2 linked regions of the Callithrix jacchus genome follow. The protein of the gene in region 1 purifies or fractionates together with the protein of each later gene. This does not show direct contact. Links are inferred from orthologs where the notes say so. Each region holds a gene or a part of one and is shown on either strand. Other genes may lie near its edges. The genes, in order: AP2A1 and RALBP1.

The links.
Region 2: the proteins of AP2A1 (region 1) and RALBP1 purify together in Homo sapiens (affinity purification with mass spectrometry; 5 studies listed by BioGRID and IntAct, with this or other methods). This does not show direct contact. The link is inferred for Callithrix jacchus from reciprocal best matches to the Homo sapiens genes AP2A1 and RALBP1.

What each region holds. Positions count from the first base shown.
Region 1 is NC_133523.1:43,536,669-43,540,936, forward strand, and holds the start of AP2A1 (AP-2 complex subunit alpha-1), read left to right. Parts: upstream 1-1,391; 5' UTR 1,392-1,521; coding exon 1,522-1,588; intron 1,589-4,268.
Region 2 is NC_133514.1:53,427,603-53,431,412, forward strand, and holds part of RALBP1 (ralA-binding protein 1), read right to left. Parts: coding exon 3,416-3,810; intron 2,597-3,415; exon of another isoform or gene 2,455-2,596; intron 1-2,454. UniProt on the Homo sapiens protein: Multifunctional protein that functions as a downstream effector of RALA and RALB. As a GTPase-activating protein/GAP can inactivate CDC42 and RAC1 by stimulating their GTPase activity.

The sequences.
Region 1 (4,268 bases):
CTCTTCTTAACCTCCTTTCCGGCTCCCAGGATTCAGAGAGGCCATTCCAAAGATCCAGGACACACCCCCAAGACTCATTCCAGGAATGCTTGACTTCTGAGATTAGAAAAGGCTGGTGGCGGGGGCGAGGTGGGGGGGGGGAGTTCTTTCCCCACAGGTGACAGAAATGGACTCTTCCAGTTCCCTTTGTCCCAAATTTCTCAATTGCCCTGGGCGTTGGGAGTTCTGGCCGTTTTGCCTTCCCCAAAGCCAGTTTACCAAAGACTCTGGGGAGCTGAGGGTAGGGGATTGAGGCTGGGGTTGGGCCAAAGCAGATTCACCCATGCCTTCCTTTAACAAATGTTGTTGAAACTCTTCAAGACCAGGTCCCATTCTTGCCCAGGAGTTCCTAGTCTGGAAGAGAGAATCAATTTTGGTTTGATATCTGCTACAATGGAGGCTGCCCGAGAGACATTGTGGTTGGACCCAAAAAAAAAGGCAACATATGTTGAAAAATAGTTGAAAGCCAAGATATGGTCTACATTTATTTCTGTTCTTTCACTTCCAAGTTGTGTGGCCCTGGGCAAGTCATTCACCCTCTCGACCTATGATTTAATCTCTGCTTAATGGGACTAGCCGTGAATTACTGTTTTTCACTCTGAGATTCTGGGTCTCCTGACAAAACAAGTCCCGACACGTTGGCTGCAGAGAAGGGGGGAGGGGAGGAAGGCTTCCTCGAAGAGGATTTTAGCAGTCGGGGGTGACAGTGAAGGCAGAAAGGGAACACGGAGACGCTTGCGCAGTAAACACTGAACGCTCTCTTGCCCCGCCCAACTCCTTCTCTGCTGCATGGAATTGCAGGCGTCGCTCCACCTATCCCAGCCGAGCGGAGTGACACCCTCTTCTTTCCTTCTACTGCTCTTCGCCTTCCGCCCGCCCCCCAAAGCCGCCCAATAGAGGGTGGAAGTAGGACAGATCTCACCAATCCGTGACTCCTGCGGGGGAGGTTTACCCGCTCATTGGTCTCGGTCAACCTCAGTCCCGCCTCCCAGGGCCCTTTCCCCGCCTTCCGTCACGTCCCTCCCTCCCTCCTTGGAGACCGGCTAGATCCAATCAGTGTTTGACTTGGCCGCGCGGAAGGGGCGGGTCCATTTTACGCAATCGAACCCCGCCCGTCTCTCGGGCAACGCCTCCTCTTCCCTCCCCGCTCCCGAACGGAAATAGCGGAGCACTGGGCCAATCGCAGCGTCGTGCCTTTGCTTAGCGGCCAATGAGAGAAAAAGTAGGGAATTAAACCCGCGTCTGAGCGGCAGAAGCTCTTACCAATAGGCGGCTGAAAGCTCCGGAAGGCGGGTAGAGGGGAGGGGCAGGTGGGCGGTGCCACGGCCTGCCAGCCCGCCCGCCCGCCCGCCAGTCAGCCCTCCCCGCGGCCGGCTTGGCTCTTCGGCGCTGCCTGGGGTCCATTCCGCCTGGTCCCCGCCTGCCAGCCCCCGCTGCGCTGTGCCCTGTCCGGCCAGGCCTGGAGCCGACACCACTGCCATCATGCCGGCCGTGTCCAAGGGCGATGGGATGCGGGGACTCGCTGTGTTCATCTCCGACATCCGGAACTGTGAGCGCGCGGCCGGGGGACACTGGAGACGCGGGGGAGGGGGGAGCCTTAAATTAAGGGGTTTGGGGGTCACAGAGGGACCCGGGGGATCAAAAGCCTTTGCGGCTGTAGAGGGCGAGTATAGATGGGCCCCGGGAGGAACTTTAAGGTGGGGGTCACGCAGGGGCTTGGGGTGTCATAGAGTGCCTCTTGAGGTGACGACACGGAGTAACTAGAGGGGTCCGGGGGTGCTGGAAAGGGGAGGAGGCCAATGAGGTCCCGGGGATGAGAGCATAGAGGTGTCCCTTGGGAAAGACTGAAAGGCTGGGGGATCGTACAAACGATGGGGTTAGAAGGAGCCCTAACGTAGAGAGGAAGGGAAAGAAGTGCATGGCGCGGGGTGGGGGGAGGGCGGGAGGTACCCTGTGGAGCGATGGAATGGGAGGAAGCCAGAGGGGACCTGTAGGAAGTGGAACGCCCGAAGCCTAATTGAGAAGGCTTGAGGGCCTGGGATGGGGGTGTCATATGGGGGGGTGGTTAGATAGGTCACTGAGGCTCCCGGCCAGTGGTATAGAGGAGGCCTGAGAGTGGTTGAAAGTCCTCGGGTTCAGGGCAGGGAGATGATGGGAGGGCCAGACTATAAGGACACCCTGGTGAGGGATAGTGGGGCTTCAGGATGGGAGATTGCTTAGACATGGAAGGCAGTGTGGAGGGGGCCAGAGGGGCCGCTGAGGGAGAAGGAGGGACCCAAGGAGGGCAGAGGAAAGGAGCTGCAGGTGTAAGGTGTTGGGAAAACCTGTGACAGGGAAGCTGCCCTGGAAAGGAGACGTTATAGAGTGGGGGTTTGGGGGAAGGGCAGAAGAGGGAGCGGAGCGCCTAGACCTCCAGGACGGCATGGGGCCCTGAAGGACTTGAGGGCAGAGATCTGGAAAGCTGGGAATAGGGTAGGTCTAATCCCAGAGAGAGGTCAGGGGTCAGGAAGCAGAATAGGCTAGGATCTGAGCCCTTTTCTATCTGACCACAGTAATATGGGGACAGTGGTCCCTGCCAGGAAGAGTTGTCGTGATGATGGGAAGTCTGGTGACAAGTCAGCTCTCAACTCCTGGGAATGGCTGTTGGTGACTGGAGCTGCCAGGAGTATTCAGAGGCTGTGTCGGAATGGGCTCTGGGGTCAGCCCCGGTTGGGTTTGCGTGGGAGCACCACCAGTCCCTAGCCGAGTGACCTTGAGTGAGGAACTTCACCTCTCGGTTTTCTCATCTGTCAAGAGAGGCTGCTGATTGTATCATCCTGAGGGGCTTGTGGCAGTGCCTGTGAGTCAGGCCTTTCATGCATTCCAGGCCCCAGATGGAACCTGGCTGTTTTGTTACTCCATTGGCTCCCAGCAGCAGCTCTGCCAAGTACCCAATGGCTGCTGTTGTTGTTTTAGAATGTAACTGTTATGGAAAGATCTGGCATGTAGAAGGTGCTCAGTGAACAGGAGGGGGTGGACACGATTGGGTATCCGTTGATGGAGAGATGGTGGGCTGTTACGACAAGGGGCGGAGTGATGGGGGTTGTGGAGTAGCTGGGGGCCCTTGTTAGGAGATGTGCGCTGCTTCTGTTACCCACCAGTGACGGGAGGTCATGTGACCCTCCATGCGTCATTTAACCTCTTTGAGGATGTTTTCTTGTCTACAAACTTCATTCCTAGAGCATCTTGCCTCTGAAGGCTCATTCCTTCATTCAGTCATTTGACAAATACTTTTTGATCGCTCCAGTGTTCTAGGCGCTGGGGTGACAATAGTGAACAGAAACTCCTGTTCTTGCCAGGCGTGGTGGCTCAGGCCTGTAATCCCAGCAGCTTAGGAGGCCAACGCCGGTGGATCACCTGTGGTCAGGAGTTCAAGACCGGCCTGGCCAACCTGGCGAAACTCCGTCTCTACTAAAAATACAAAAATTAGCCAAGTTTGGTGGCGGGCGCTTATAATCCCAGCTATTCGGGAGTCTGAGGCAGGAGAATTGCTTGAACCTGGAAGGCGGAGCTTGCAGTGAGCTGAGATCGCGCCACTGAACTGCAGGCTGAGCAACAAAAGCGAAACTCCGTCTCAAAACAAAACTCCTGGTCTTGGGAGCTCCCTTCCCTGAGGAAGACAGAACATAAGCACAGAGAACACTCTAAGATACAACCTGAGGCCCTGAGTGGTGCTGTGAAGGAAAACAGGGAGGAAATGGGCAGGAGAGGACTAGGATTGGGAGGGTGCTCCGTAAATCTGGAGGAAGCCCTGTAAGTGGAGCAAGCCCTGTGGATTTTGGAGGAAAGGGGTCCTGGCACAGGGAGGTGCATTCAAAGGTCCTGAGGTTGCCGCATGCCTGACGTGTTGGAGTGAGAGGGAGAAGGTCAGTGTGGCTGGAGCTGAGGGAGTGTGGGGGGAGAGGGCAGGAGCAGGGGGGAGGAGGGACAGGATCGGGAAAGGCTTTCTGGGCCATGGTGAGCACTTTGGCCTTTATCTGCCTGAGAATATTTTGAGCAGAGGAGGGACGTGACCGATTGATGTTTTAAAATAAGTCCTCTGGCTGCTGTGAGAACAGATTCTAGAGGTAGCAGTGGAAGCAGGGAACGAAATTAGGAGGGCGTTGCAGGCCTCTGGGCGAGAGAGAGTGCTGGCTTAATGGGGTGAGAAGGGATTGGTGAGAAGTGGGCTGGGGATACTTTTTTTTTTT
Region 2 (3,810 bases), on another chromosome or scaffold:
ATCTAATTTCTATTTCAAAGTTTGGATTTTTTAAGTATACCTTTAATCTGAACAGAGCTGGGACAAAAAAATAACGTTTGGGGTTCTAAAATCAAATTGTTTTGCTTATTGAACAAAAGGAAACTCTAACACACAAGCAAATAATTTTCAAACATTGTATAAGATTTGAAGTCTTCAGTACAATCTGCATTAAGTGCCGTAATTTAGTGATAGTGATTGCTCAGAAGAACACAAAGTCGTTTTTTGTTGTTTTTAATACTTAACACTTTCATCCAATTATTTGAAACAAGCTACATATTAAGGCTGACGGTTTCTACCGGTAAATGCTATCTAAGCTGAACAGCACTTGACAGTGAATACGGTGCTTACATCTGGACTTTGGGATTCCTTATCCTTCGTGAAAACCTTTTAGTGGCATTATGATAAATCTAATTTAGTATTGACAAAATAAAATAACAAAATACAAAATAACACTATTAATTTATTTTTAGATAATCTTTATTTTGTGACAGCAAAGTCAAAAATAATTCCCATTTTCTTACTTTTATGATAATATGAGTAAACCGTGATAACTTTAACCGAAATCCTTGGCAAAGATTTATTCTCTTCCTCATGTATATTTAATTCTTCCCCTTATAGTACCTACCCAACAAATTGTACAAGTAGTCAATCGGAATGTGTGTTTGGTTTGCCTTACTCTGAAACTGTTATCAAAATGTTTTCCTTTTAAAAATTGGACACTCCAAATAAAGCATTCCACAGAAAGAGAGAAAGTGCATACAGGTACACTTCAGTGCAAAAGATACAAGAAAATGTAGATGAATAAATTGAAATGTATAAAATCACTTGAATTGTCTTTCATATTAGCTTAAAATTGGTAAAATCACTTGAATTGTCTTTCATATTAGTTTAAAATTGGATAATCAAGAACTAAAACGTCCAGCAAAAGGTCTTAAAATGAATTAAGTGAGAACTAACATCTCCAGCAAAAAGCAGTATTATTATTAGCACTGGCCGGAAGAGTAGTACAAGCCAGGCTGACTACAGCAAACTGCCACAGGTTAGAGAATAAATGGAAAACTCATCGGAGCAGGAGCTCAGCCCCTAGCTATTGCAATGATGGACAGCAGCTCAGTCTGAATGCTTTTACATACAGAGAAGAGGAGTTCTATGACTATGAATTTCCTAAAAAAATGCAGACTTTAAAGTAGGCCAGAGACAAAAAGAATCCTTTGAACAAAGCTGCAGAAAATTTTCAGAGAAACTTTTACCTAAAACAAAATTACTTTATGGCTACTAAGACCATGTGAGAGAGGCAGCTTGTGTTATTAATGTTTAAATGTTAAAAAATCAATTCAGTAAATTATTCTTAAAAATTAAATATTTGGGCCAGGCGCAGTGGCTCATGCTTGTAATCCCAGCACTTTGGGAGGCTGAGGCAGGCAGATCACGAGGTCAAGAGATCGAGACCATGGTGAAACCCTGTCTCTACTAAAAAAAAAATACAAAAATTAGCTGGGTGTGGTGGCACGCACCTGTGGTCCCAGCTACTCAGGAGGCTGAGGCAGGAGAATTGCCTGAACCCGGGAAGCGGAGGTTGCAGTGAGCCGAGATTGCACCACTGCACTCCAGCCTGGCGCCTGGCGGCAGAGCAAGACTCTGTCTCAAAAAAAAAAAAATCAAATATTTGTTTAAATATATTTATTGAATACTAAGGAGTTATAAACTTAAATTCAATGCCTAATTTATTTCATGTTCTATAAAACAGTAACATTTTAGCCAAAATACTCTTAATAATGGCATGTAATCTAGTGGATTATGTAACAGTTTTCCCAATTATCAAACCTATCTGCTCTTTCTCAACAAAAGTATCAAATCTACCTTCTCAAACTGTGTATGAGCCAATTAAATGAAAAAACTAAGTCTAATCTCTCCATATATTCTATATATGACTTAACAACACCTCATGAAAATACACGTGACCAACAAGTATTATTATTTTTGAGACAAGGTCTGACTCTTGCCTTGGCTGGAATGCAGTAGTACGATCATGGCTCACTGCAGCCTCAAACTAACTCCTGGGCTCAAGTGACTCTCCTGCTTGGGCCAACAATTAATTTTATAAAATAAATCTCTAAACAGAAATTGATAATGTACCAAGAAACTGAATAATGGGAATTTAATAATTTGGAACACAGATGCTGCTACAGGTCAGGGCTTTCATCCTATCCCAGTATAAACATCATACTGCTTTCTAAGAAATAAGTCTTTTTACTTTTAAATAATATACATATTGCTTGATTTAGATACCCAATCAAAACATATTCTTGCCGAGTATAAAAAAATTTAATTTGTATACATATGGGATAAAGATTAATAGAAAATCAATTTTGCTAATGTATGTAACAGCTGCATGTAGCTGACCAAAGCATTCACATATGGGGCTAAACATTTACTACTTCTTGGTCTTTTGGCTAAAGTCAAGTATAGTATCTGTTCTAGGATTTCTGGAGCAGGGAGATGGAACAGAAGCTTGCTTGGACCACTCCACATATTGACCAGGTATTATGATATCTCCAAGAACCATGCACCAAGAAAACAAAAACAAAAACAAAGACCATTTCATGCCTCTTAGCTAAAGAAATATCCATAAATGGGTTTCTTGGCCAAGAAGCTTCCTTCACACAGTTAACCTTCCTTCTCTTGCTAAAGACCCTCATACCACTGAGCCTCTGCTTAGAGAGGAAAGAAAAAAACAAAAGCAGGCATCCAGGCATAGTGGCTGATTATGAGTAATTCCAGCACTTTATGAGGCCAAGGAAGGCAGATCACCTGAGATCAGGAGTTTGAGACCAGCCTGGCCAACATGGTGAAACCCCATCTCTACTAAAAATTCAAAACTCAGCTGGGCATGGTGGCAGGCATCTGTAATCCCAGTACTCAGGAGGCTGAGGCAGGAGAATTGCTTGAACTTGGGGGGCAGGAGAATTGCTTGAACTTGGGAGGCGGAGGCTGCAGTGAGCAAAGATTGCGCCACTGCACTCCAGCTGGGCAACAGAGCGAGACTCTGTCTCAAAAAACAAACAAAAGAAAAAAAAAGTAGGGTCTGAATGCAGTCCTGTTAAGCAATGCTAACAGTACACCTCACTTTGTTTTAGTCCTGATTGCTGCAACCTCTGAACAACTCACATGAAATCCTCCTAACGAAATGGAATATCATAAAAAACCAAACTGCTCAAACACTAAAGAAAGGCTGGGGAGAAGGGTGGATTTTCGTGCAATTGGAAGGATCAAGGAAATGAATAAGGCTTAGGATCCAGGCCAAATTTTCCTCACAACATTTTTTTCTTCCTTTGAAAAATGAAAGTGAAGTTAATTATTAAAAATCACCAAGTGAAGTGCACATTCCCAGTACCTGATACTCTGTAGATGCCTTCGCACTTCATGCCATACTTCTCTACGTAATCTATACATTCACGGAAAACAGCTGGCAGCCGAATGCCATCATACATCATGGTCCTCTCTACTGCATCAGCCAAAGGAATTCCAAAAATGGGTTTGAGATTTGGAACATCAATCTGAGGCACCTCTGGCTCCTGAATTGGCTTTTTCTTTTTCTTCTTTTCCTTCCACTGTTTAACAACATCAGCTGCTGTTAAGTCTTTAGACTTCTTCTCTTTATGTTTTTCTTCTTTGTGCTTTTCTTCTTTATGCTTTTCTTCTTTGGGTTTCTCTTTTATTTTAAAATCCTTCTCCTTCTTTTTAGAGAAGCTGGGCTTCTTGAAAACATGGATTCCCTTGGACCTCTTC